Sus scrofa: one gene and its partners. The protein of the gene in region 2 purifies or fractionates together with the protein of the main gene of each other region. This does not show direct contact. Links are inferred from orthologs where the notes say so. Each region holds a gene or a part of one and is shown on either strand. Other genes may lie near its edges. The genes, in order: NFKBIB, BTRC, NUAK1, GLI1, USP47, NUDC and TFAP4.

Evidence for each region.
Region 1: the proteins of BTRC (region 2) and NFKBIB purify together in Homo sapiens (affinity purification with western blotting; 4 studies listed by BioGRID and IntAct, with this or other methods). This does not show direct contact. The link is inferred for Sus scrofa from reciprocal best matches to the Homo sapiens genes BTRC and NFKBIB.
Region 3: the proteins of BTRC (region 2) and NUAK1 purify together in Homo sapiens (affinity purification with mass spectrometry; 3 studies listed by BioGRID and IntAct, counting the BioPlex papers as one, with this or other methods). This does not show direct contact. The link is inferred for Sus scrofa from reciprocal best matches to the Homo sapiens genes BTRC and NUAK1.
Region 4: the proteins of BTRC (region 2) and GLI1 purify together in Homo sapiens (affinity purification with western blotting; 3 studies listed by BioGRID). This does not show direct contact. The link is inferred for Sus scrofa from reciprocal best matches to the Homo sapiens genes BTRC and GLI1.
Region 5: the proteins of BTRC (region 2) and USP47 purify together in Homo sapiens (affinity purification with mass spectrometry; 5 studies listed by BioGRID and IntAct, counting the BioPlex papers as one, with this or other methods). This does not show direct contact. The link is inferred for Sus scrofa from reciprocal best matches to the Homo sapiens genes BTRC and USP47.
Region 6: the proteins of BTRC (region 2) and NUDC purify together in Homo sapiens (affinity purification with mass spectrometry; 3 studies listed by BioGRID and IntAct, counting the BioPlex papers as one, with this or other methods). This does not show direct contact. The link is inferred for Sus scrofa from reciprocal best matches to the Homo sapiens genes BTRC and NUDC.
Region 7: the proteins of BTRC (region 2) and TFAP4 purify together in Homo sapiens (affinity purification with mass spectrometry; 4 studies listed by BioGRID and IntAct, counting the BioPlex papers as one, with this or other methods). This does not show direct contact. The link is inferred for Sus scrofa from reciprocal best matches to the Homo sapiens genes BTRC and TFAP4.

The regions. Positions count from the first base shown.
Region 1 is NC_010448.4:47,702,280-47,706,443, reverse strand, and holds the start of NFKBIB (NF-kappa-B inhibitor beta), read right to left. Parts: upstream 2,801-4,164; 5' UTR 2,704-2,800; coding exon 2,525-2,703; intron 1-2,524. Other genes in the region: SIRT2 (NAD-dependent protein deacetylase sirtuin-2), read left to right, coding at 3,144-3,159, 4,005-4,051. UniProt on the Homo sapiens protein: Inhibits NF-kappa-B by complexing with and trapping it in the cytoplasm.
Region 2 is NC_010456.5:112,562,764-112,566,263, reverse strand, and holds part of BTRC (F-box/WD repeat-containing protein 1A), read right to left. Parts: intron 3,008-3,500; coding exon 2,911-3,007; intron 2,204-2,910; coding exon 2,066-2,203; intron 1,599-2,065; coding exon 1,480-1,598; intron 1-1,479. UniProt on the Homo sapiens protein: Substrate recognition component of a SCF (SKP1-CUL1-F-box protein) E3 ubiquitin-protein ligase complex which mediates the ubiquitination and subsequent proteasomal degradation of target proteins. Recognizes and binds to phosphorylated target proteins.
Region 3 is NC_010447.5:14,150,478-14,153,977, reverse strand, and holds part of NUAK1 (NUAK family SNF1-like kinase 1), read right to left. Parts: intron 279-3,500; coding exon 127-278; intron 1-126. UniProt on the Homo sapiens protein: Serine/threonine-protein kinase involved in various processes such as cell adhesion, regulation of cell ploidy and senescence, cell proliferation and tumor progression. Phosphorylates ATM, CASP6, LATS1, PPP1R12A and p53/TP53.
Region 4 is NC_010447.5:22,742,825-22,746,324, reverse strand, and holds part of GLI1 (zinc finger protein GLI1), read right to left. Parts: intron 3,137-3,500; coding exon 2,972-3,136; intron 2,493-2,971; coding exon 2,262-2,492; intron 1,529-2,261; coding exon 1,261-1,528; intron 847-1,260; coding exon 1-846. UniProt on the Homo sapiens protein: Acts as a transcriptional activator. Binds to the DNA consensus sequence 5'-GACCACCCA-3'. Regulates the transcription of specific genes during normal development.
Region 5 is NC_010444.4:47,465,394-47,468,893, forward strand, and holds part of USP47 (ubiquitin carboxyl-terminal hydrolase 47), read right to left. Parts: intron 1,914-3,500; coding exon 1,136-1,913; intron 1-1,135. UniProt on the Homo sapiens protein: Ubiquitin-specific protease that specifically deubiquitinates monoubiquitinated DNA polymerase beta (POLB), stabilizing POLB thereby playing a role in base-excision repair (BER). Acts as a regulator of cell growth and genome integrity.
Region 6 is NC_010448.4:84,237,489-84,241,494, reverse strand, and holds the start of NUDC (nuclear migration protein nudC), read right to left. Parts: upstream 2,801-4,006; 5' UTR 2,693-2,800; coding exon 2,612-2,692; intron 229-2,611; coding exon 151-228; intron 1-150. UniProt on the Homo sapiens protein: Plays a role in neurogenesis and neuronal migration. Necessary for correct formation of mitotic spindles and chromosome separation during mitosis. Necessary for cytokinesis and cell proliferation.
Region 7 is NC_010445.4:38,046,348-38,050,495, reverse strand, and holds the start of TFAP4 (transcription factor AP-4), read right to left. Parts: upstream 2,801-4,148; 5' UTR 2,579-2,800; coding exon 2,214-2,578; coding exon of another isoform or gene 2,155-2,213; intron 1,645-2,154; exon of another isoform or gene 1-1,644.

The DNA of each region.
Region 1 (4,164 bases), on a different chromosome or scaffold from region 2:
AATGGAACAAAATTTGCTCATTCTAAAAGGCAGAAAAAGAGGAAAAAGGTAAAAGAGATAAGCAAAAAAGCTAAAAACAAGATAAACATAACCATTTCAATAATTAAGTTAAATGCAAACAGTCTAAACACTGCAATTAAAAGACAGAAACTGTCAGAATGAATAAAAAAGTAAACCTCGAGTTCTCTTGTGGTGCAGCAGATTCAGGATCCAGCACTGTCATTGTGCCACACTGCTGTGGCTCGAGTTGAGTTGCTGGCTCGGGAACTTCCACAGGCACAGCCAAAAAAAAAAAAAAAAAAGCAAAACCCACTATATGCTGCCTGTAACACTCTTGAAATATAAATTTTAAAATAGGTTAAAATTAAAGGGTATAAAAAGATATTCCATGGTAACACCAGTCATTCAAAAGAAAACAGAAGTAAGTATTTTAATATCAGAGTAGATTTCAGAGCAAGAAGCATTACCAGGGCTAGAGAAGGTTATTTCATAACGACAAAGAGGTCAGTGAAACAAGAGGACTTAATAATCCTAAATATTTGTGCCCCTAATAATAGAGCATCAAATTACACAAAGCAAAATCTGATAGCACAACAAGGAAAGCCACGAATCCACAATTATTGTTGAAGATTTCAATACCCGGCTCTCAATAATTGACAGAACAAGTAGAAATCTAGACTTGAGCAACAAAAGAACCAGGGAAACACTGACACTCGGAGAACACTACACCCAACCAGAGCAGAATACACATTCTTTCAAATGCACACATTATATTCTTGGCCCTAAAACAAGTCTCAAAAAGTCTGAAAGGATTCAAGTCATGCTAGGCTCTCCATCCCCAACAGAATTAAACTAAAAGCCAATGAAAGAAAGATGCCTGTGATATGGAAACTGAATAACATACTTCTGAAGAATCCGATGACCAAAGAAGAAATCAAAAAAGAAATTAGAAAGTATATTGCATTAAATAAAAACACTACACATCATGGAATTCCTGTTGTGACTCAGTGGTTAACGAACACAACCAGTATCCATGAGGATGTGGTCAATCCCTGGCCCGGATCACTGGGTTAAAGATCTGGCACTGCCATAAGCTGTGGTCTAAGTCGCACATAGGGCTCAGATCCCACATTGCGGTGGCTGCGGTGTAGGCCGGCAGCTGCATCTTCGATTTGACCCCAGCCTGGGAACTTCCGTATGTCGCAGGTAGGCCTTAAAAGCAAAACAAAACAAAATGACAAAAAACGACACAGCACATCAGAATTGGTGAGATACTGCTAAAGCACTACTCCGGGAAATTTACAGCATGAATCACTTATATGCGTAAAAAAAAAAAAAAAAAAGAGTCTCAAATCAATGACCTCAGCTTCCATCTTAAAAAACGAGAAAAAGAAGAAATTAAACCCCAAATAAGAGAAGAAAGTAAATAAGTCAGAACAGAGATCAACAAAATAGAAAGCAAAAAGAGAGAAAAAGAGAAAATAAATGAAACCACAGCTGGTTGTTTGAGAAGATCACTGTTTCCTGAGTGCCTCCTATGGGTCAGGGGCTGCTGGGTCACTGGGGATACAGCGGTAAACACGATACTCAAAAACCCCAGGTACATTCCCTCAATTGGGCCTTTACAACTGTTTTTCCCTCTATGTGCAATGTTCTCCCCAGATAATCTACTTGTCTCACTTCCCTGCTTTATTTTTCTCCAAAGAACTTCTTAACGTCTGACATGCTATTTTTCTTTTTTTTTTTAATTTTTGTCTTCGTTTCTTCCTGCCTTTCTTCTTTCTCTCCCTTTCTTACTTTAGGTCTGTGTATCTTTTTTTCTCTTTCCTTCTCTCTCCTTTTCTTTCCTTTTTCTTCCTCCTACCCTTCCTCCCTCCCTGTCAGTCTATCTGCCCTTCTGTCTATATACCCCCACTAGAATGTATGCTCCACAAGACAAATGTTTTTTGGGCTTTCCTCCCTGCCTTTAGGCCACACCTAAAACAGTTCCTGGAAAGTCGAAGGTGTTGGATTATTTGTTTAATAGATGAATTCCTGCTGTTATGTAGTTTCCATTTTCTCTTTGAATGTAAGCTTTGAAGATCAGAGTTCAGAAGGTGGGATCCTGGAGTCAAAAGCCAAGTATTAATTTCGAAATAAAATCTAAGGCTCATGTAAGTTAGGCGCTGAGGACCAAAGATCATATTTGGAGGATAAAGGTCAGGAGGAGCCTGTCTGAACTACAGTTCTAACAGAGGGCTAAGGACTGGGGTCAGGAAGGTCAAATCGAGTTTTGGATGTGGAATCGATCACTGAATGTGGGTCTGATCAATGAACGCATAACTCTGAGAATCAGTTCAAGAAAGGAAGGCCAGACATTATTGGGTTAGGATCAAAATTAGATAAGAAGTTGGTTTTATCAGAGGCCAGTCTTGGGGTCAGGAAGTCAAGCATCAAAAGACAGATTTAGGATTGAAAGGTTGGGAAGTCAGGATTGGAGATGTGGGACCCTGGGGCCCGATTTGTCAGTCTAAGGTTCACTCACGTGTCGCCATCCTCAGTGACGTAGCCGAAGACGAGGGGCGCCCACGATAGTCCCGGACCCAGCTCCGCGCCTAGGCCTGGTCCTCCGGGGGCCGCTGCGTCCGGACCCAGAGAGCCCAAGCCGCTGTCGCACCATTCATCGGTGTCCGCAGCTTTCCCCAAGCACGCAACCCCAGCCATGGCCCCCGAAGCCTCAGGGGCCCCCAGCGGCAGCCCGCCTGTCGCTGGGCTCTGCCTGGAATTCTCGAGCTTCCGCCCTGCGGGGAATTCCCCAACACGCCCCCCTGACTCATCCAATCAGGGTGGGCTAAGTAGTACACGCCCCGCCCCCATGCCACATGATGACCAATCAGAGCACTCAGGTGGACTACGGCGTTCTACCTTTTCCCACACTTTCCCGGAGTCCTTTACCAGCATGGCTGTGGACGTGGAGCCCTCTGGGACTCGTAGTCCGGCCTTTGCGTGGGGGCGCGCTCCGTACGCGGTGCAGAGCATTATATGCGATCGCGATGGCTGCTGGGAGTTGTAGTTCTCTGCCTTGTCTCGGCCCCCTCCTGTTTCCGGTGCCGTCACGGGACAGAGCAGTCGGTGACAGTCCCGAGGGCCCCCGCCCCGCGCCCATGGCCGAGCCGGATCGTGAGTCGGGGACCCCGGTGGGAGGGCAGGGCTGCACCGGGGCCTAGCTGAGGGTCGTAGGCCCCGGGGCCCGAGGGCAGGCTTGGTGGGGCAGGAGATGGGGGTTGCATGGGGGGGAAAATGGGATTCCGGGGGCAGTTGCCAAGTGATCCATATTGCTAGATTGGTGGCTTTCTGGGTCGCTAGGTTTTAAGGGTCCGTTTGCCACTTCCCCCAAGTTACTAATGATCACATGTTTCTCGCACCTTAGTTGCCAAGGACCCTCGTTGCTAGGGACTTAAGATGCCGCGGTCCTGGTTGCTAAGGGTACCTGGTTGTTAGTAGCAACTGTAGGATGCCAGGGTCCCCTCCTATTGCTTCCTTTTTCTCCGAAACCAACCCCACCCTGCCCGACACACACACACACACACACCACACACACACACACACTCTGCACCTCTTCTCCCAAACCTGCCAACAGGCAGAGTATGTCTTCTCTCCTTTCTATGGCTTCCCACTGCTTGTAAACCTAATGACACACACTCTCACACTACTACACCCTTCCTAACTCCTCCTAAGTCTTCCTCCATGCCGGGCGTGCTTTACTTTCTCTTCCCTCGCCTAAACCTTCCTGTCCCGGCCTCTTTGTCCCTCGCTAACCTCTCCTCCCAGCCGTCTGCACACTGATAAGGTCCGCTTTTCCCCATTGCCGCCCTCCTCCACTTCCATTTTACACCCCCACCCCACCCGGTATGACCAGGTTGGTGAGTTTTCTTGATCCCTCTGCCCCACTAATTTGAAGCCCTTCCTTCCCCCTTAACCACTCCCTTCACCTTAACCACGTCTGCTCCCCCTCCTCCCCCCAGCCTCAGACCCTGTGGAGACCCAGACAGGGAAGGTGCAAGAGGCTCAGGTGAGATGGGGCGGAAGGGTGGCGGGAAGGAGAGAGATGGACTTCCCACACCCCATCCTGGGAGGGAGGTGGCAGAGGGGAGATGGGAACCCCAGGGCCCTGAGCTCCCTGCC
Region 2 (3,500 bases):
GCCCCAGACTTCGAGATGACTATAAAGCTTCTGACACTCAATCTGTTAGAAAAATTTAAAATTTAAGAAATACACGCATATATGTATTTTTGCCTGCACCCATGGCATGAAGAAGTTCCCAGGCCAGGGATCGAATCTGAGCCACAGCAATGACAATGCCGAATCCTTAACCAATAGGCCATGAGGGAACTCCACAATCTGATATATTTAATTAATAACTGCAGCACTGGTGGTCCCAAGAGGCAGCCCTCAGGTCTTAGAACAGATAGAGGCCAAGAAACTTCTCTAACAGATGACTCAGTACTATGGATCTGAGCTTGACGACTCTGGATCTTGGTTTTTACCACACAGGTCAAGGCCTAAGATTACCTAGACCCTAAATCTAAGGCCCCATTTCTGTGTCTTAAATGAGGGTAGGTATCAAGAATGGCCACCCCAATATATATATAGGTTTCGCAGCAGAGGGCAGGACCCTTGAATAGCTTGAGACTGCTGTGTGAGGATATATTTTGCTTTGACCACTCTACTTCTGTACGTTTACTTTGGTTTTACTAACACATTTTATTTCTTTTTCCAGTTTAACCCCCTCTTTCAGGAAATCATTTTTTCCCTTATCCTAGAAATGATGTTAGCTTCTATTAACTTTCAGCTTCCTTGAGGCACTCCATAAGCATCAATAAATGTTAAATGTTGATAACTCTAAGAACTGAGTCTGCTATGCCTTTAAGTCAAAAGACAAGAAAAAGAAATGGCCTTTTCTATTTACAGAGGATAACTTGGAAGGTAAACTTTTAACTTCAGAGAATCTAACAATGCAGTTAACTGCTTTTTTTTTTTTTTTCTATTTTTTTAAAGTTACTTTTGATGCATTATGTTTGCTAAACCCTTTAGCTCAAGGCAAAATTCCTAACAGAGGTTTCCAGCAGTGCTGCTGGTACCCAGAACTCAAGCTACACTGGACTCCAGCAGCATAATGGCTGTGTCATCAAATTACTAATGCCTCTGGAAATTGAAGCCCCCTCCCTGAGTGAAGCCTGCAATTAAAAACTGCAGGGACAGCAGGGGAGGGGCTGGCAAAGAGAGAGTACTGCTCACCTGTACACATTTTAAAGGAGATAATGCGTGCCTGCACTATAGCTATAACCACCTGAAAGGAAGGCTCCATTCCACTCATGTCATTCCCCTGTGAGGTGGTTTTTGTAAGAAATGCAAGGTTTACCACGTTTCTATAAGAGATGATTCCCCCAAATTAAAACAGAATATATAGTTTCTTAAATGTGCAGAAATGTAAACTTATCATAACCATTCCTAAATCAAGTTTTCTAGTTCTAGATTAACACAACTATGGAGGGAGCTGATGGTTTATTCTTTAGTTATAAAGTTTTCGAACTATGTTCATGCACATATATACAAAATTACTAAGACAGAATAGAGTACACCTGACATTTCAGAGTTCTAAAGATTATTGAAATTTTCTACCTGACTGTGGAATCCGACGATCCAGTTATGATCACCCTCTCATCATACTGGAGACACAGGACAGAACCTGTGTGGCCTGTGAGAATTCGCTTGCATTCCAATGTGCTTTTATCCCAGATCTAGGATGGCAAACAAGATCCTTTTGATCACTATGATAATGGGGTGCTGCAGAGACTTGCTGGCTCTATTTTGTGTTTGAGTCCCCAAAAGAATCAAAGCCCAGAGTAGTGTGGAATGCATTCTTCTCTATAGGTATAGCGAAGCACCTATATATATGTGGCTTCAGTACTAATGCAGACTTGATCCTTTTCATTAAGGAAACAGGGGTAGCCTATAATTATGTGAGGGCCAAAAGACTAATAGCCCATTCAGGGCACTTCAAGAAGAGAATTTAACCTTAGCACTACCCATTTGCATGTGTTTCTGTGGGTAAGCAGGTACTTTTCCTTAAAGGAAACGATTTTTGGCTTTGGGACTCTCACTTACTTTCTGGAAATACTGCTTAGAGTTTATGCTTTGGATTGCTTTAGGGATTGTAGTCCCCCTCACCCCTTCAGCCACCTTCCCATAACTGAAGAGACCTCACCTTGATTGTGTTGTCTCGAAGGCCACTTACTATCTTCTGATCATCATACTGTAAACAGTAGACTCCTTTGCTCGTTTCACTTCGGCAGTGGATTCTCTGTAAGCTATGTCTTCCACATCGCCAATTAGATTCTATCGTCTGAGAGGAAGGAATGGGTAAAGAAGCTGTAATTAGTTTTAGGGAACTAAACTCTCATCTGAATTTCATGGCAACCTATGACAAATGCTCAGTGCTCTACTCTACTGGATACACAGAACTTAACACATACTAAAAATGTAAAAACTTTCTTATTTTTAAAAATCTTTGGCCATGCCCACGGCATGTGGCAGTTCCTGGGCTAGGGATCGAACCTGAGCCACAGCAGTGACCCAAGCCACTGCAATGACAACACCAGATCCTTAACCTGCTGCACCGCAAGAGAACTCCCTAAAGATATTTTTAAAAAGCCACTATTTAAAGTTGTAAAATATTTTGCCACTTGCTATGACTCATATGAGGTTACCTGCTCAGTGCTCATCTTACATTTGTGGTAGCCATTTCTACCAGTGAGCTTCCACAGAGGCTCAATTCAGAAGATATTTGAATGACAGCTTATAAGTGCAACTTCAACAGTTTTAAAGCTATTATCATACTCTCTTTCATGTATTTATCAGTGAATAACTTAAAAGCTTTAAAATTTTGCTTGGCAATTTACTATATTTTATCTTCCCTATTCACTTGTGAAGAAACTGATTTTTAACCCACATCAATAAACCTTAATGGGTTTGCTATAACACTGCTGTTACTGAAGAATGTTGATGATTCTCTAGTATTTGGCAAATGCCCAAATATACATATATTCTTACCTCAATGTCTTGTATAATTTTAGGATAAAGTGCTCTATAAAAAGAGTTGGGAGGAGCATTCCCATCAGGAGGTTTGTTTTTGAATAAATACTGTCCCCTAAAAAACAAATATTTCCCAATAAAAATCATATTATACATTTACAAGGAACTTCATATTTCTTTAAAGTGTTTTCACAGTTACCATTCCATATAATCTGTAGTTATAATCTCCAGAGAGGTATGAAGTTAAGCTTGATGTCAGGAGTCCCACATCAGGAGGAACTCTCTGGGCTCAAATGATTTGTTTTTGGATAAAACATGATGATTTCCAATGCGGAACATCAGAGTGTCAGGTCTTCGGAAACATTATGTCAATAGACAAATGGAATGCTTATGGTCAGAATTCACCTACTGGTCTAATAAGATCTCTGTAATTGGCCTTATCTTTGAAAATTTTGTTAGTGATGATACTACCATCTTTGAACTAGGAACATGCCCCACAGCCTTTTTTCCACTGAGTAAAGCTGTGCCAGTGTCAGTTGGAGCCAGCATCATGGGCAGCAGGAATGCCTCTGCCACAAAGATCACATTTTCTAGTCTTTGTTTATGTA
Region 3 (3,500 bases), on a different chromosome or scaffold from region 2:
CAGTGACAATGCCAGGTCCTTAAGCAATAGGCCACCAGGGAACTCCAGATGTCACCTTTATAATATGAAAGAGTCACGTGGTTCCCTAACAACCTGTGGCCAGCGCAGCGCAGGGCTGGGCCATACCTTGTGACAATAGTGCACGGCGGAGACGATCTGCCGGAAGAAGTGCCTGGTCTCCCGCTCGCTGAGCCGGCGCCGCTCGCTGATGTAATCGTACAGCTCCCCTTTGCTGGCGTACTCCATGATGATCACAATCTTATCTTTGTTCTCGAACACTGCGGGGGAATGGCAATACACAGACAGCCTGTTTACCCGACCAGCTCACTTATGATACAGAGACTGTGAGAGGGGACGAGGGAGATGTCACCGGACGGGGCAAACAAGTCAGGCCATCAACGCCACGAGGGGATGAGCAAGCTTCCCAAGCAGGTGGACCGTGACATCATCGCTGTCTCTGTCACCTGACTGGGAAGCGTGCCTTCTTCTGAGGACCCTGCTCCCTTTACCAGGTTCCTTCCTCCCAAGCCCTTCCCATCGGATCGGCTCCCCTGTGGATGAGATCATGGGGAGTAACCGTTTGATATGGACCAGCTACCCAGACCCTGAAATGAATGGCTGAACTTGTTGCCTCTATTCAAAAGCTTCCAGACTTTCCATCCCACTCAAAATAAAACCCAAAGTCCCAAATGCAGCCACCAGACCCTTTTGAGCCCTTTGATGCATCTATTCTGTGTATTTCTTTGGTCTCCCCCACTAGAATGTAATGAGGATTGAGCTGTCTCTTTTTTTTCTTTTTAGGGTCACACCTGCGTCATATGGAAGTTCCCACGGTAGGGGTCAAATCAGAGCCTCCGCTGCCGGCCTACCCCACAACCACAGCCTATGTTGAAGCTCACGGCAATGCTGAATCCTTAGCCCACTGAGGGAGGCTCGGGATTGAACCTGTATCCTCATGGATATTAATCAGATTCTTAACCTGCTGAGCCACATGGGAACTCCAAGGATTGATCTCTTTCATTGGCTGATGTACCCCAGCACTCAATGCCCATTGGCAAAAGGTGTCAATTAATATTATTAAATGGGGGAACTCACAGCATCTTAAATGCATTCTGGACTATCACTGTAAATAATCAAAGCACTAAATGCGTCTCTCTCCCCAACGCTGATATTCTCTAACACTGATGTTCAAACGCTGCTCTCCTGAGTCCTAGGAGCTCCAGGCAGATGCCCAAGGGGGCAGGTTGGGAGACCATGAACAGAGTCTAGGTCCTCAGCTCCACTGCAGCCAAAGCCCCTCCAATGCTATCTGTTTCACAGTTGGGGGTTTCACACAAGATGCCCTTTGAGCGAAGATAAAATAATCATCATATTGAAATCTATCACTTCCAAGGGATATGGTGTAAAAACCTTTGTAGGGTACCCAAGACCCTCCCGTTCCCTGTAGGACCCCTGCCTACCTCCTCCATCTCACTGGCTTCTACCACTCCCTATCAGGCCCCCTCCGCCCACCAATACCAGATCTGTTCACAATTGAGCCAGATTGTTCACAATCTGATGTCAAGTTGTTATTTCTCTCTCTCTCTCTCTCTCTCTCTCTCTCACACACCCACACACACACATACTGCTGTTCGCACCTCCATGCTCTTCCTTCTGCCTTTACTCCTACCTATCCTACCTGCCAGGGCAATACCAACTCATCTGTCAAGAATGAACTCAAGGAGTTCCTACTGTGGCTCAGCAGGTTAAGAACCTGATACAGTGTCCCTGAAGTTACAGGTTTGATCCCTGGCCTTGCTCAGCAGGTGAAGGATCCAGTGTTGCACAAACTCTGATGAAACCCTTAGTCCGGGAACTTCCATATGCCAAAGGAGTGGCTGCAAAAAGAAAAAAAGAAAAAAAAAAAAAAACTATTTTAAAAAAAGGGAACAGGAGTTCCCGTCATGGCGCAGTGGTTAAAAATCCGACTAGGAACCATGAGGTTTCGGGTTCGGTCCCTGCCCTTGCTCAGTGGGTTAACGATCTGGCATTGCCGTGAGCTGTGGTGTAGGTTGCAGACTAGGCTCAGATCCTGCAGTGCTGTGGCTCTGGCCTGGGCCGGTGGCTACAGCTCCGATTGGACCCCTAGCCTGGGAGCCTCCATATGCTGCGGGCACGGCCCAAGATATAGCAAAAAGACAAAAATAAATAAATAAATAAAAAATAAAGAGAACACACGAATGAACTCAAATATGGTGTCTGCAGGTGTGGTTATAAAAAGGAAAAAAAAAACTATTAAAAAAAAAAAAACATAAGAATGAACTCAAATATGGCATCCGCCTTGCTTCCCTTCCACCTCTCACTGCGCTAATGGATACTTACCTCACAGCACTTTGAAACTGCATGGATATACTTGCTGATTACATATTTATTTCCCCTGCCTGGACTCTGAGCCTAGACTTGGAAAAGTAAAAACTGTCATTTTAGAATCAGGCATTCCTAAGTAGATGCCTGGATCTGCCTCTTACTTGCTGTGTGACTCTGGGGGAGTTGCTTGCCCTCTCTGTGCCTTTGGTATTACATCAGTATTTCCCAGATTGTTGGGAGGATTTATTGACATCAGGTATGTTAAGTGCTCAGAACAAGGCCTGCCCTCATGGCACACACTCAATAATGTTATTACTGTTGGTATCAATACTCTTGGACTCCAGAGGGCCCAGCACTGACCAGATGCACAGACACCCTCAATGAACTGGACTGTGCCCCCAGCCAGCATCCCCTGTCCTCCCGCACCTCGTCCCTGGCTGCTAGCAGCTCAGGCCCCTCCAGTTTCTTTCTGGCTCCTTCAAGTCCAGCCAAACCTCTCTGATAAAACGGAGGGAGAAGGAGGAGGGCAGGGAGGAGGAGGAGAGAGAACAGCCAGATAAAATTGGCTGCTCCCGCGTCTGCTGGCCTTGGTGTACCCTGCAGCTTTGGCTCCTGCCAGGGATCTCAGCCTGTTGTGCACTCTTCATTAACAATCAGCTTTGGAAACTGGAAAGCCTGCCTCAGGATGCATGGCTCAGGCTCTAAAAATGAACGAGTGATAGGCCCTGGAGAGGGCAGCGGGTTTTCTAATTTTAAAAATGGTTGCGGGGTGGGGGGTGCAGCAGGACAGAAAGTACTTTGAGAGGGAAATAAACAAAGAGCCTCACACCCCCAAAGAGTCGGATGTGCCCTTAAAGAAGGCCAAAGCCACTGGTCCCCTCAGTGACCATCAGAAGGTGTGGGTCACTGGCTTCATGCAGACGAAAGGACTGTTTCAGTGAGCAGACTTGTCCCTTTCCTGGCTCAAGGAGATAGAAACACGGTTCAGTTCAACACAGTTCAATGTGCCAAAGAGTTTACTAAACAGCTTCCATCGCTAAGTCCTGCTGGTCCTACCTCTAAAAACAGACCCCGATCCTGTCCACCTGTCTCCCATCCCCGGCCACCCCTTTCCCAACCATCTCCCCTCTTTCATGCTTGGTCCTCTGCTGACT
Region 4 (3,500 bases), on a different chromosome or scaffold from region 2:
GTTCAAGACGAGGACACTGGCTGTAGGTTCCAGCAGGCGCCTTGGGGCCTGGGTACAGTCCAGAGTGGGAAGGGAATTCACCCCATGTTTCTGGGGTGGGTTCAGGATAGGCGACCTGCTGAGGGCAAGGGTTGGGGCCATAGTTGGTGGGTGGACCAGGCCCAAGAGGCAGGGAGCCCGGGCCTCTAACTCCGTAAGGCTCAGTTGCTGCCCCCTCAGGTCCCCCGTATCCCAGAGTATCAGCAGGTGGGAAATCCATATAAGGGTTCAGACCACTGCCCATCATGGAGGTCCCAACCTCTGGCTTCTCCCGTAGCCCTCTGGTATCCATGGTGACATTCTCAGTGATGCTGGGGGGCTGTGGTGAGTAGACAGAGGTTGGGAGATGGGGATCGAAGTTCTGTCCTCCTCCTGCCACTGTAGGGGATGTGTGGACACAACCCAAGCTCTTGAACCGCTGGACTCTAGCTGGGGCAGGGCGGTCAGCAGCCCGGGCTGGGTCACTGGCCCTCCGGGTGACCCCTACGTTGGGGTTGTATCCTGGATACTCGGCTCGGCTTCTCCAGGGAGGTGCAGGGAGACCCCCCATCCGATCCAGGCTGGGTGCTGCTGTGGGTGGGGTACCACCTCCCCTGGCTGAAGCATATCTTGCCCGGAGCAGGTAGTGCTGGGCAGGCGTGAGGCCAGGCAGAGAGGATGCCCCATTCTCTGGTGGGGAGCCAGGGGGGAAAGGAGAGGCCAAGGAGGAGCGGCGACTGACAGTATAGGCTGAGCTGACACTGCTGGAGCTGCTGCTGCGGCGGTCAAGAGAAACTGGGGGGCCCAGCCGGCGGGACACGGGAGTGCCTGCAGTGAGAGGTAGAAAAGGCAGGGTGGCTAAGGAGCCCTCTGAACTTCACCCTGCCTCTCCCACAGGACAGCCTTGTCCTGGAATCCCAGGGAAGGCTCCTTAACTCTAAGCATTAGGTTCTGTCTCCTCCCATTCCCTTTCCGCTCTTGGATCACTGGGAATTCAGAACTGCTATGAACAGTCCTACAGGTTGTACACTGCACAATCCTAGGGGACAGCATTCACACTATAGATTTTGTATATCACAACAATTTTCTAATAGATGGAAGGAAATTATCTTACAGAAAGGGGACCTTTTTCTAATTGTACAAAGGTGCTAGATAGCAGCCCTGAAGGGTGAAGTCCTCTTTCCAACCCCAGGGAAGGTCCAAATCTCAGCTCAGCAACCACCCCTCACAGCCAGCTCTTACCAGTGTGGGTCAAGCTGGGCAGTTTGAGGCCCCGGGGCCCCACTGGCCGGAACTGATGTAGTTGGTCCAGCCTGAGATTCTCAAGGCGGCGAAGAGTAGACAGACCAGTGCCAGCAATACAAGGTCCCTCGTCCAAGCTGGACAGGTCCTCAGTGCTGCCTCCTGCATTTCCAGTCATTTCCACACCGCTGTCTGTATTGGCCGCGCTGCCTGCTGGGGAGTGGTCACTGCTGCAGGAGGACTGGGCTCCAGGACTCGGCTGTGGCTTCTGTGGGGAAGATGAGGGCTAAGGCTGGCACCTACCTCCCTTCCCCATAGCTCCCTGAACTTGGTGAGTGGCTACAGCCTGTGTCCCAGTGACTGCTTATGACCTTAGACAGTTTCTCTATGCCTGAGTTTCCTCATCTGCAAGTGGGGAGAGTAAGTTCCTTTCTCACGAAGTTGTTGTGAAGAGTATGTGAAATTATATAGGTACAAGGTCTAGAATAACATACTAAGTTTCATATAAAAGTTTGTTGAGGAGTTTCCGTCGTGGCGCAGTGGTTAAGGAATCCGACTAAGAACCATGAGGTTTCGAGTTCGATCCCTGGCCTTGCTCAGTGGGTTAAGGATCCAGGGTTGCCATGAGCTGTGGTGTAGGTCACAGACGTAGCTCGGATCCCGTGTTGCTGTGGCTCTGGTGTAGGCCGGCAGCTACAGCTCTGATTCGACCCCTAGCCTGGGAACCTCCATATGCCATGGGAGTGGCCCAAGAAATGGCAAAAAGACAAAAAGACCAAAAAAAAAAAAAATTACCTGTTTAAAAAATAAATAAAAGTTCGTTGAACCAATTAAATAATTCATCCCCTAGGTTTAAGGTACCCCAAGGAGCAACACTCAGATAAGAGACTAGGGGTCTGGCCACAGAAGAGATTTACGTTGGAGGGGGTGGACCAGTTAGATGGGGTCTAGAAAGATGTCGGCAAGGCAGGCAGGGGGTCGGAGGCAGGGGGCCGCCTCACCATGGCACCCTCTGGCACAGTCAGTCTGCTCTCCTCCCTGACGGGGCCTCCATCCCGCTCCCTCTTAGGCTCCACCGTGGAAAGAGCCGAGGCCCGAGGCAGGGGGCCATCTCCTCGGTGCCGCTTGGTCACGTGGGCATCAGGACCGTGCACTGTCTTGACATGTTTCCGGAGCGAGCTGGGATCTGTGTAGCGTTTGGTGCAGCCAGGGAGCTTACACACATACGGCTTCTGTTGCGTGGAGAGTGAAGACAGCGGGCAAAAAGATCAAAGCAGGAGATTGCAGAAGAAATGGGAAAAAGGGTTGGCGTTAAGTGAGGTCGAGGGGAGTCAGGGAGGAACGCATAGCACCTAAGGAAGAGTAGGGCCCTGCAGTAAAAGACGAGAAGATCAAGGGGAAGATTATGAAAAACTGACAGCCCAGGCCTGGGCAAGATGAGGGGGTGAACCCAGGTCTGTGAGGCCTCATAAACTCAGGTGTTGAAGGCACCAGGGTCTCCTTTGTTAGAATGGGTCTTTAGCTGCTTGAGGGTAGGGGGAAGGGTGGCAAGTGGAAATTCTTGGTTTCAGAGAGACCTCCAGGTGAATTGTATGGGTGGGGAGGAACTCACCTCAATGGAGTGGGTGCTGGGCTAAGGGATTTCTTATGGGGGATTCTCCCAGTAGGTGGCTTCTTTAAGTGGGAAGGGTCTCTTGGGTGGGGCATTCACCTCATTGGAGTGGGTCCGATTCTGGTGCTTGGCTCGGTCACTGGCGTTGCTGAAGGCTTTACTGCAGCCCTCATGCTCACACATGTATGGCTTCTCACCCGTGTGTGACCGCAGGTGTGTCTTCAGATTTTCCAGGCGTGAGTATGATTTCCGGCACCCCTCAAACTGGGGGAAATGGGGGGGCGGTCAAAATATCACTCTCAGACAGAAGGACATGGACATTAGTGGAACCCTGAATCTCAAAAGGGACATCTATCAGAATATAACTCAAGAGGAGAGAGGACTGGGGCTTCAGGATTCCCAAAATTCGGGAACAAGGGCAGGTGAGAGCTGGGAGAACGGAAGTAGCTGGAGGCGCTCTGTCTGCAGGGACATGGAGATGAGGCAGTAAGCAGCTCCTGGTCAAGCCAAAGCATATCTGCCCACCTGGTGAGCCCAGCTGGTTTTAAGATGGGGTCATCCTGGAAGAGCGTGTCCCCATTAGGCAGGACCTCTCCATTAGGCAGAGCTGCAGGCACAGTGTCTAGGG
Region 5 (3,500 bases), on a different chromosome or scaffold from region 2:
AATTTATGTTAACCACGGACAAATTTATGTGTTTTTACTACTGATTTCATAATTTCTATCACTTCCTTTTAAAAGACCCAATTTTGAGATTACAGGCATCATATAGCATTTAACTATTATAGTGGTTGTTTGTGTACTTTCTCCCCATGAGATGAAGCATAAGGCTACAATTTCAGTCATCTCTGAGGGCCTGGCACCTAGCATGGATTTAGGAAATAACAATAGTTGGATAAAGAGATAGATGAAGAGTAGGACTCTCCTCTAAAAGTAATGGGAAGCAAGTGCATTCAATTAGAAGCCTCTTGTAATGATTCCACCACTTACTAGCTATATATGTATATTTGGGCAAGTCACTCATTAGTTTTCCTACCAGTCAAGTGAGGATATCAATGTTTACTTTATTAATTTCAGAGAAACTTAAAGGGAGAACAAACAACTGTTTTGAAAGCTAAAATATAAAAATATAAGGGATAATATTTATATTTGCCTTCCAGACTAATGCAAGGTATCTAGGTTTTCAGCTATTTTTTAATACTAGAAGAAAGATTTTGAATCTTGAACCTGGTTGCCCTGCTAATTTCTGGTTTATATCTTGCCTGAAGCTTCCTTTAAGAAAACTTGAAGGAAAAAAAAAGATCCTTTCCTTTCTCCGACTTTCCTGGTTAGCTATGGCCCTTTTAGGGGGAGTGGGAAGGGTGCTGTCTGCTTTAGGTGATAGAAAAAGGGGAAGAGCTGCAAAAATAAAAATTTTTTCTGGGTACTGAACGTAAAATTTTCTAAAATGTCTAGCTTTTTTTTTAAGCACTGTTATCATAATTCTTTCCTTCTTTAAAAAAATTCTTAATTTTCTCTCCCCCCTTTTTAAAATCATTTCATTGGAGTTCTGACATCATTAGACCTGTATATAAGTCTAATGTACAGGTCTAAGAACACCATTCACTATCAAATGCAACAAAAATGAAAGCAAAGGCAACAGAAGATAATCCTATAATCCAGGAAGTTATAGGTAGTTGTAGGACAAAGTATCTGACTCTTAGCTGATTTTTAACTAAAAATTTAAATAAACTGATTAAAAAAAAACAAAAACAAAAACCCGAGGCTGTTTCAAGGAGCCTTCTTCTTATGAAGTACATACATTTATGTCCTTCCCCAGAACCTTCATCTGCAGCATAGGGCTCTGCTTTGAAATACATGTACTGTATTTCTCCCCTACTCTTGCCACTCTCATCATATTCACTGTCCGTTCCAGAGTCTTCTTCTGCTGTATCCCATGTCTCCTTTTTCCCTTCATTTGCTTTAGTTCTCCTACTACTTGTGATGCTATGAGAGTCAAGTCCATTTGCCAAAGGGATTTGGGCATTATCTGCATTGCACAAAGTATCACTGCTATGACTGGAGCTAAGAATATCACTGTCCACTGAACTTGTACTCCTGTCATTATTGACATCTGAGTCTGATCGTTCTTCAGATTGAAAATTTTCAGGATCAGAAGTTGGAATATGCTGTTCAAGTTCTCTATTATCCACGGATGCGGAAGAGTCCCTCTCATTGAGAGGTGATTCAATGTTTTCAAAGTCACTAGTCTCAGTACTTTTGCTGCTGTCCCCATTATCTCCCTCCTGCTGCTGCTGCAGCGACAAACTTTTTAGTTTTTCAGTGCTTTCTTCTAGAATAGCTTCCACAGACTTTAGGCTCCCGGCAGGTCCTTTGACTCTTTCACAGTCATCATCCACATTGCCAGAATCACCCCCAGCTTTCTGGTATGCTGTCCTTTTGGAATAAGATCCTGGGGATTGTTCAGGTAACAAAACAAATAATCTGATTGTATTTGCATGTCGATCCAGGAGTTTCCATAAATGAGAGTCTGTAAAGGCCATCTGGTGATCCACAGTCTCAGAACTTTCAACAAACACCTAAATTGTAAGTCAGAGAATTAACTTCATTAAATTAGGTGACATTCTCAATACATCATAGGAATAATAACACATCAATATAAGACAGTGCACAATAAGCTAGATAACTTGAGATGATGTTTCTAAAGGACACATCCATTGTTTCTGGAGGCTAAACAAAATAAATATTATATTTACATATCTTTGTAATTAGTCAAAAAATTGTTCTAAGACAGATGCCGTGTCCCCCCGCCCCCAACACACAAGTGCGTGCAGACATCTTATTTATTGGAATATGTGCAAAAACATCTCAGGAATGCGACACCAAAATCCAGATTATATATAATAATGTAATGGACAAACGACTTGATTCTATAGCAAATAAATTACAAATAGACAAAAAAAAACACATAGTGGAATCTTCACATTAAAATAGACTGGAGAGGAGTTCCCTGGTGGCCTAGCAGTTAAGGATCTGGCATTGTCACTGCTTGGGGTTCAGTTTCAATGCCTGGCTTGGGAATTTCCGCATGCCGTGAACGCAGCCAAAGAGAAATAATAATAAAATAAAACGGACTTGAGAGATATTATGGACATTGTTTGGATCCTGATTTGAACAAACAAATCTTATTGGAAAAAAATTTTAATATAATCAGGGAAATCTGAACACCAAGATACTGGTTGATATCTTGATAATGAGGCATTTTTGTTAATTTTTTAGGTGTATTAATGTAATTGGTTATGTTTTTTAAAAGTTCTTATCTTTTGAAAATATACATTCAGACTGTTTATAGATGAAATGACATGATACTGGGAATGTCTTTCAAAAAATCTGGGGGAAGCAGTGGTTAAATATACATGAAATGACTTGATAGTTACAGAAGCTGGGTGATAGTACATACTCATTACACTATTCTCTGTATTTTTGTATAAGTCTGACATTTTCCATAATAAAGTCTTTTTAAAAAATGAAATGTGTATACACAAATATTGCAATTATGAAGAGTATTTTGAATTTTTTATAGCAAGATTATTATTCAATAAATGTTATAACTCAGGAGTTAGTTAACTATTTAAAGAAAAAAGTTGTAGCATTCCCATTCTTTACCCTAAAACAGTATTAGGGAGATTAGAGGATTTTAATCTTATACACACAAACACCACACAAAAGTATTAGAAGAAACTAGAGGTGAATAAAAATTACACATTAGAATTAAGAAAACAACACTAAAAAATGGTTAAAGGTGATAAAAGACCAAACTGCACTAAGATGAATGAGACTGGAAATGGCGATAAATAAAAAATGGCAAACAAGGAAATTTTGATGCAATTTATTCAGAGTAAACCAATGGCATTAGGAACAAAAACAGAAAAATGATAAGTGATGGAACACATAATGATATCAAAAGATGAAATAAAAAGATCAACATGCCAGGCCAGGGATCAGTGGTATCTCTGAAGCCCTGGGACACAGATTTGATCCCCGACCTGGCACAGAGGGTTAAGGATCCGGCATTGCTGTAGCTGCAGTGTAGGTCAAAACTACAGCTCAGATCTGATCCCTGGCCTGGGAACTCCAAATGCTGTGGGGCACCCAAAAAAGAAAAA
Region 6 (4,006 bases), on a different chromosome or scaffold from region 2:
GCAGGGTAGATAAAGCACTTGGCAAGGAAAGGGACTTCAATAAATGACAGTAAATGCTTTCCTTCCCCAACTCTTGCCCTTGGCGTGTTAACTTCTGCGAAAGGTTATTATTATGCCAAAGGAAGGCCAGGTAAGCTCGCCAACACTCACCTTCTCTGCCATCCCCTCTTCTCCTCCAACAAAAAAGTCTGTTTTGCGACGAAGGAAGCTGAAGAAAGTGTTCACAAGCTGAAAGACAGAAGGCAAAAGACTGAAGCTGTAGAGGTGCCATACAGGGAGCCCCTTAACCACACACAAGCAACCTCCTTCACCTAGGAAGGAACTTGGGACTGGACCATTTCAACCCTGAGCCTCCCAACTGGGAAAACATCCCCCCCAACAGCCCTGCCTTAGTTACTTCTGCCAGGAAGCCTAACCTAACCTGATCTAGAGCAACAGAAAGGGAGAATTCTCATTTCTTGTGTATATGCATATGTGTATTTCACATTTTTTGTGATGCTAGAAGCAGCCTGAGGATATGGGGCACTGCATCCAGGTTTGAAATGCCTGGGGCCTAGCTTTCCTCTCCATGTAGCAAAAAGCCCATCCAGAGTGGCGCTGGCTGAGTTACTAGGGCAGAGCTGGAAGGAGAGAACAAAGAAGGCCACTTCAAAGAAGGTTAAGACCCACTAACTCTGGTGTTTTTTTCTTTGAGGGGAGGAGGGAGGTTAGCTACAGAAGCTCCTGGGGCCAGGGATCAAAATCAAGCCACAGCATGGACAACACTGGATCCATAACCACCAGGCCACCAGGGAACTCCAAAACCAGCTAACTCTGGCTGGGTGCATCAGTGCAGTCAAGTTGTTAAGTGCGTCGGTTTGGGAGTTCCCGTTGTGGCTCAGTGCTTATGAACGCAACTAATATTCATGAGGACATGGGTTCGATCCCTGGCCTTGCTCAGTGGGGTAAAGATCGAGCGTTGCAGTGGGCTGTGGTGCAGGTCACAGACATGGCTTGGATCTGGCGTTGCTATGACTGTGGCATAGGCTGGCAGCTGCAGCTCTGATTCAAACCCTAGCCTGTGAACTTCCATATGCCATGGGTGTGGCCCTAAAAAGGAAAAAAAAAAAGAGCATCGTTTTGGCCATTAGATTGATATACATTAGCTCTGTGACCTGGGGACAGTGTCTTAACTCTATGAAACAGAAATAGCAGCAGGACCAATTTCTAGGGATACACGTGAGGATCCTTGAGAGGACCAAAGGAAGACATGCAGGTGAGGTCCTTAATAGCGTCTGGCTAAAGAACCTCGGCCACAGAGAGAGCTCCTCACAAGTAGGCACCATGAACCATGACTCTGTGTACATCCCCAAGGCCTGGCACCAGACCTGGCTCAGAGTGCATGCTCAGAAAACTTTTGCTGAGCAAAAAGATCTAGTGATGACTGAGGGTTGGCACATATAAATAAGCCCTTTTATTTGCCCAAGTGAGAGGTTCTAAATCTGACGCTAGAATTTATCTCAACAGTTTCAATTCCTGCTTCTGGACACTTTTTCAATTCACTCAAAAATGAACTCACTTCCAAATCCAGGTGCAACAACAATTTAGGGGGGTAGGAGAAGGGAGACTTTCACATCTGCAAATTAGTAGCACTCTTCCCACAGGGACCTGAATGAGAATGGGAATGGAAGGCTCCAATGAGACACAGAATCAACAATGGACTGTGGAAAGCACACACTGGCCTAAGGATTCTGGTCCCCTCTAAGCCAGGAGCCTGTTGGATGAGCTTGGGCAAGCTCCTTCAGTTTCTTTAAAGAAAGACTAATCTTGATAGGTTTTGCTACGTTTAACTTTCCATCGTCCAAAAAACCAACTCCAGAATCTTTACTAGTTGGTCCTTATCCTTTTCCTACACATGTTATTGGGTTTGGTCACTAAGCATGAATTATGTTCTTGCACACATCAATTACTCAACAAACACTTGTTGAATGTTCGAGTCTGATTACCGAGAATTCTTCACTGTCCTTCACTTCAAGACACTACTCTCCTACAAATTCAGGAAGTAAGGATTCGTAGCTCTGTCTCAAAGAAAGAAACTGAAGCTTGGAGACATGAAACAGTCCAAGTTGTTAGGAAATGCAAAACACGCCTCCTATTCTCTCATTCAAGATCTAGAAAGACCACGTGTTAATATCACCCCCCCCACCCCCACACATCGCATACATTCTTCCGCTCGCCCCAAGTCTTGGTACATGCAAATCTCAATGCCTAGAACATCCTAAAGGATGTTCTTTGGGGGCGGCCACCAGAGGGGAAAAGGGCCGGAAGCAGGTTGGAGACTAAAGAGGGGGAAGGGATTCCAAGACTCGGGCCTTCCCAGGGGCAGATAAAGGGATGCCAGAGCTGTTAAGATGGTAACTACTGAGGGGCCCCAGGGATCCAGAACTGGTCCGAGCGCAAGACTTGCGGCGGGGAGGCCAGACTAGAAGCTGGGGTGCAATGAGAATGCGGGATCCTAAAGCCCGCAAGGCCCAGGGGTGGATCTCGTCTCTCGAAGGCAGCGAAGGGAGGAAAGAGAGTGGCTGGGCCGCCTGGGTGGGCCAGGCCAAGCCAATGCCGAGCGGGTCGTTACCTCCTGCACGCCTCCCTCGTGCTGCTGCGCCATCGCCAACAACATGCCGTCGAAACGATCCTCCTCCTGGTCTCCACCCATCTTGCCAGCTGCTAGCCACGCTCCGAAATCTGAGCTCTGCTCTCGCGTCCCGCGCTCTCGGCGCCTTCGGGTCGCGTCCGGTGCAACGGTTTCAGTCCTCCGCCTTCCGCAGCGGAGACGGAAACACGCACGCGCCCCGCTGCCTTGGCCCGCCCGCCTGCTCTCTCCTCCCGCCTCCCTTGTGGCCAGCGGCCATTGACCGTGCGGCAAGCAGCCCGCTTCACTGACCATTGGTCGACTTGCTGAGCCAATCAAAGAGCGCGTCCGTGAGCGGTGGGCGGAGTCGAAGGCCTCTGAGTTTGGTGTGAGTTGCTATGGTCACCAGGAACCTTTTGGAGCCTTCCAGAAAACCCTGGGCTCAAATCACGCGGGCCTGAAAGTTGAAAAAGCACAAACTTTGAATTTACGCCTTGAGAGTGACCGCTGAGCTTGTAGAACGGTAAAGCGTTCTTAATCATCTCTTCCAAGTTTTCCATCGGCCAACTGAGGCCCAGAAAGGAGAAGGGAACTTGCCCCAAAAGACAGCCTACCCCTGTTGTCATCACATACTCCATACAAATTGTGCAGTCGCAGGGGACCCGGACTTAGAAAGTCCCTTGGTGCTGGGGTTAATGCTCTTCTGCTGCAGTCCTGAGACTCTTAATATTTTTTAACAAGAGCCCCACCCCCAACCCCGCATTGTCATTTTGCGCAGTTTCATGCAAATTATGTAATGAGTGCTAAATTCGAACTTCACTTTTGTGCGGGACAGACCCCAGCCATCTAAGGCCAAACCCTCTACTTTTGTATTGAATTTCATCATCTTAGTCTTTTCAGGGATTCTACTCTTACTATCCTTTCCTAATTCTCCTGCATCAGAATTTTTTTTTTTCCCTACTCAATGAATCTGCATCACAATTTTCTTTCTTCTGGATCATCCCTTTTAACTTACAAATATACTTTAATGCCACTTCTTTTTTTATTCTTCTATGACCCCCCCACACAAACTTTTCTCCTCCTACCATTCCAATTTTATTTTTTTATTTTTTATTTTATTTTATTTTTTGTCTTTTTGCCTTTTCTTGAGCCGTTCCTGCGGCACATGGAGTCCAATCAGAGCTATAGCCACCGTCCTACGCCAGAGCTACAGCATCGCAAGATCCAAGCTGCATCTGCGACCCACGCCACAGCTCACTGCAACACCGGATCCTTAACCCACTGAGCAAGGCCAGGGATCGAACCCGCAACCTCATGGTTCCTAGTCAGATTCGTTAAGCACTGAGCTTCGATGGGAACTCCTATCCCAATTTTAAAATCTCTTTGACAGCAAAACTT
Region 7 (4,148 bases), on a different chromosome or scaffold from region 2:
TGCTGGTCACCGAGGGATGGAGCAAAGTCCACCTGCCTGAGAAGCCAGTATATCCGGCCAGAAGGTCCCACCCAACTCACACCCGATCCGTGACAAGCTTCCTACCTCACCCAGCAGCTCCCAGAAAATGAACAAACCCAGAGGCCCCAGCCCCACACCCAACGCATGGGCTGACAACAATCTCACAGCTGGGCAGGCCCAACTCTGGAGACCCCTATGGGTCTGCTGGACTCCTCCAAGGGGGGCATGGAACAGAAACAGAGCCAAGCCAGAGTTCTAGGGGGCCCAGGGAGGACACGGCCAAGGCCCAGACCAGGCAGCCTATGGTCCTCTGGTGCCAAGCCTGCCTGGGATCAGTCTCCGCATGTCCTCTGCAGCATTTGAGGCAGCTCAACCCATCTCCTCATTGGCCAACCCTCCTCTGAGCAACCAGCAGCTCTGGGACCAAGGTTCAAGTTCCAGCCCCAGCACCTGCCTTATCTCTTCCTTTCCAGACCTGTGTCCTCATCCCGCACAGGAAGCCATAAAGCCACTTCACTCGGGGGAAGATGCTAAGGACTCAGAAAAATCTCCCCAAAGGAGTCTCTACAGCATATTAATAGCTCCCGAATTTTTTCTTCTTTTCCCTTATTACAGCTAAGCTCTCCAGCTGGACCTTGGAGAAGGGCCAACACTCAGAGCCCCTCTGCTGAGCGTAGTTAAGGTGGGAGCCCTGGGACGGGGGCGGCGGTGTGCAGCAACCTTCCCGCAGACAGGTTTTGACGGGCCCTGGTGTCCACCAGCCTGGGCCACACCGCCCTGAGCTCCTCCTCTCTCAATCCCCGCCTTGCCCGCCCCGGGGCGGCAGAGCACGTGGCTCCAGCCCTGGGGAGCCATTTCGCTACTAGAGCAGGAAAGGGGGCCACAGGTCCCAAAGTTGGACACGCAGAGAACACCCCCATGCAGCGCCGCCATCCTGCCGGTTGTGTTCAACCTGCAGATGTTCGGGCCCTTCTAGAGATCGGAATTGCGGGCATGTGAATTTTAACAAGTGTCCGCTAACCCATCACTCTCCGGGGAAGGGGAGATCCAGAGGATCCCGGGCAAAACTTAGAAGGTGGCTCCTGAGGAGGGCGACGGACCTCGGACCACCCACCCAACTGGGTAGCGGGCTGGGCAACCAGATGCTTTCGGTTTATGGCTGGGGGAGGGGCGTGAGACAGGAAAGTTTGCAGTGGGGACCCACGTGCTGCAGGCAGCGGCTTGGTGAGGCTAAAAGCGGACTCTGCTGCCCCCTCTCCGGAGAGCCCCCCGACCGGACCTGCCTCCAACAGCCCGCCCGCGGGGTCCAAGCTTTGTGCGGGGAAAGCGTGGCCCTGGCGCGCCTACAACTCCCACAATGCCGTAGGGACGCGGAGCCCAGAACTACAGCTCCCGCCTGGCGGCGCGCGGAGGTCCGCCTACTCCAAGAGGGCTGCAGAGTCACGTCCAGGCCTCGCTAGTAAACAGCGCCCGGGCGCGGGCGGCGAGCGAGCTGGCGGCCGCCAACGTGCCAGGGTCCACAGCGCTCCCGGCGGGCGGCGCCGGCCCCTCGGGTTCCGCACCCCCCTCACACCCTCGAACTCCAGCACGCCCCCAGACCCCGCTGCAGCCCAGCTCCCTGCAAACACTCACACCACCGGCTCCCCGCCCCCCCGCGCCCAGAGCCGCGGCGTGGCTGCATTGTAGCCGCCAGCGCCGCGGCCCCACGCGCGCCCCAGGCCCCCCCCAGAACCCCTTGGAGGGGGGCGCCCAGAGAGAGTGATGAAGGAGGGAGAGGAAGGAAGCCACCGCGGGAGGGGGGAGGAGGAAGCGCGGGGGGGAAAGCCACCAGCACCAAGCATGGCCGGGACTGCTGCAGAACCACGTGGGTCTGTTTGCAATTTACAAACGTCGCGACTCGCCCGCCTGCAGCGGACAAAAGTGACCGGGGCCGTTCGGGGCCCCCACGTTCCGAGAGAGGAGGGTCCCTGGGAGGCCCGAGCCCGGCGCGCGGGACTGCAGCCGCCCCGGCGGCTAAGAAAGGCGAGAGGGTCCGCGGCGCGGGCCATGCGTGCGCACACGCGCGCCCGCCGGAGCGGGCTGGCCAGGGGCTGCAATCATAGGAAGAGGGTGAGGGGGAGGAGGAGTACACACCTACAGAGCCCTCCTATCACTTCTTTCTCTGTTTTCCTGAAATGTTGCAAAGAGGGCACCTTCTGAGTGGGCACCATGAAATACTCCATAGCGATCGGCCCCCCTCCTCTGCACGAGCCAGGTCCCGCGGTCCGCCGGAGAATGCAAGATGGAAATCCGAATCAAAGGGCAGCGCCGGACGGAGGTGCAGAATCGGCCGGTCCCAGATGCTGGCTGCGGCGGCGGCGAGGGGAGGGAGGCGGGCGGGAGGGGCGGGAGGGAGGTCTCTCCGGCCTGCCTCCCCGGGCGTGTGTATGTGCGTGTGTGTGTGTGTGTGTGTGTGTGTGTGTGTTTGCAGCTGATCAGATGTCTGTTTCAAGGCGGGAAACAGCTGGTGAAAACTCAGCACTCCCCCGGCCTCCTTCCGCGGAGTAAGGAATTGCATGTAAACAAAGGACTATTTGCAGCGCCCCCAGGGCGGCGCGAGGCTGGGGCAAGAGGGGCGCTGGCCCCCAGGGCCGAGTGGCGGTCGGGGTCTGAGGGCCTTACCCCCCAGCTGGGGGTGCGGGGGCCGCCGGTCCTCCTGGGGGACGCAGCGTGAATGGAGCGAGCTGCGGCCGAGCTACATGCGCCACTATGGGTGATGAGGTCCATCAGCTGACAGGTTGGCAAGCGTAGCAAAAAAAAAAAAAAAAAAAAAAAAAAAAAGACCAGCCACTGCGAGGGAGCCCAGCCTGTACGCCTGGGGTCCGGCGGGGACCGCCGGGTGCAGACCCTGCGCGCTTGGCCGCCCTCGGGGTGCGGGGGCTCGCAGCTGGGCCCGGCAAAGGCGAAGGTGGCCTGCGGTGCTGCTCTGGGCTTTTTTCACGGTTGCAACTGCACGGAGAGGAGCCGCTCTGGCGCGCTCCCTCCGAGCCCAGGGCCCCCTGGAAACTTGCGTCACAGCTACCGCTTCCCACATGTAACTTGGGGCCGACTTCAGAGGCCGGCCAGCCCCCTCCCTCACTCCCTCCCTGCCCAGCTGCCCGCTGCTGGCCGTCTGGCCTGGGCTCCGGAGCTTGGGAATCCCGGAGCCAAGGAAGGGAGGGCAAAGGGGGGCGCGCCGGGCGCCTGGGATCCTGGGGCTGCCTTAGGAAGCAGGGGCCCTGGCGGGGAGGGAAGGGAGGCGGGCCAGGACGGCAGCGGCCCCGGAGGCAGGCTGCCAGCGCGGCCGGGAGGTCCGGTGGCTGCTGCGGGGTCTCCACCTCTCACCCCTCTGCGGGGAGGCTGGACGGCCCGAGCCTCGCCCCAGCTTGGCCGCGGTAGGCGGAAGGCTGCAGCTTCCCATTCGTGGCGAAGCCCGTGCGGGACCTGCTCCTCCGCCAGGGTGCGCTCTCTACTAGGGGTGAAGGCCTGGGGGTGGGGAACACCGTGGCGGCTGGCTTCCGCCCCCCCCTCCTTCCTGCGTCCCCTCCCCAGGCTCCTGGAGGTTGGCCCCTGGCTCAGGAAGACCGCGCCTGCCTTGGAATGTCCTCCCTCCTGCCCACCGCCTTCCTCAAACCTATTCGCCTTCCAGGTTCCGCCCAAATCGCGCCTTCTAATTGAAATACTCCTACTCAAGACAAGGATTTCTGGTTTTAGTAGGAACCGTTATTGTTCTTAGATATTCCGAGTATCTTGCAGATGCCTAGCCCTTTTACGGGTATAGTTTCCAATCCTTCAAAGTCAGCTGCTGGGCTGTTTCTGTAAGTACAGATCCTGGACCATGTAACACCACAGTCCCCGGGGGGCTTCCCTGTGTGGACAGGAAGGATGGCATGTGGGGACAACATAGGATACAGAGCCACCCAACTGTATGCCCTGATCACTGTCCACAGTGCCTGAGTGAATGAATGATGAGAGCTGGGACAAGTCTGCCTGGCCCCTGCTCTTTCTTCTCCTACAGAACTGCCTTGACCCAGCCTGAGCACACTGTCACTCAAACTGGCCTCCCCATTTCTGCGCCATGCCATCTGGAGCCCTCTGCTGTCTCAGAT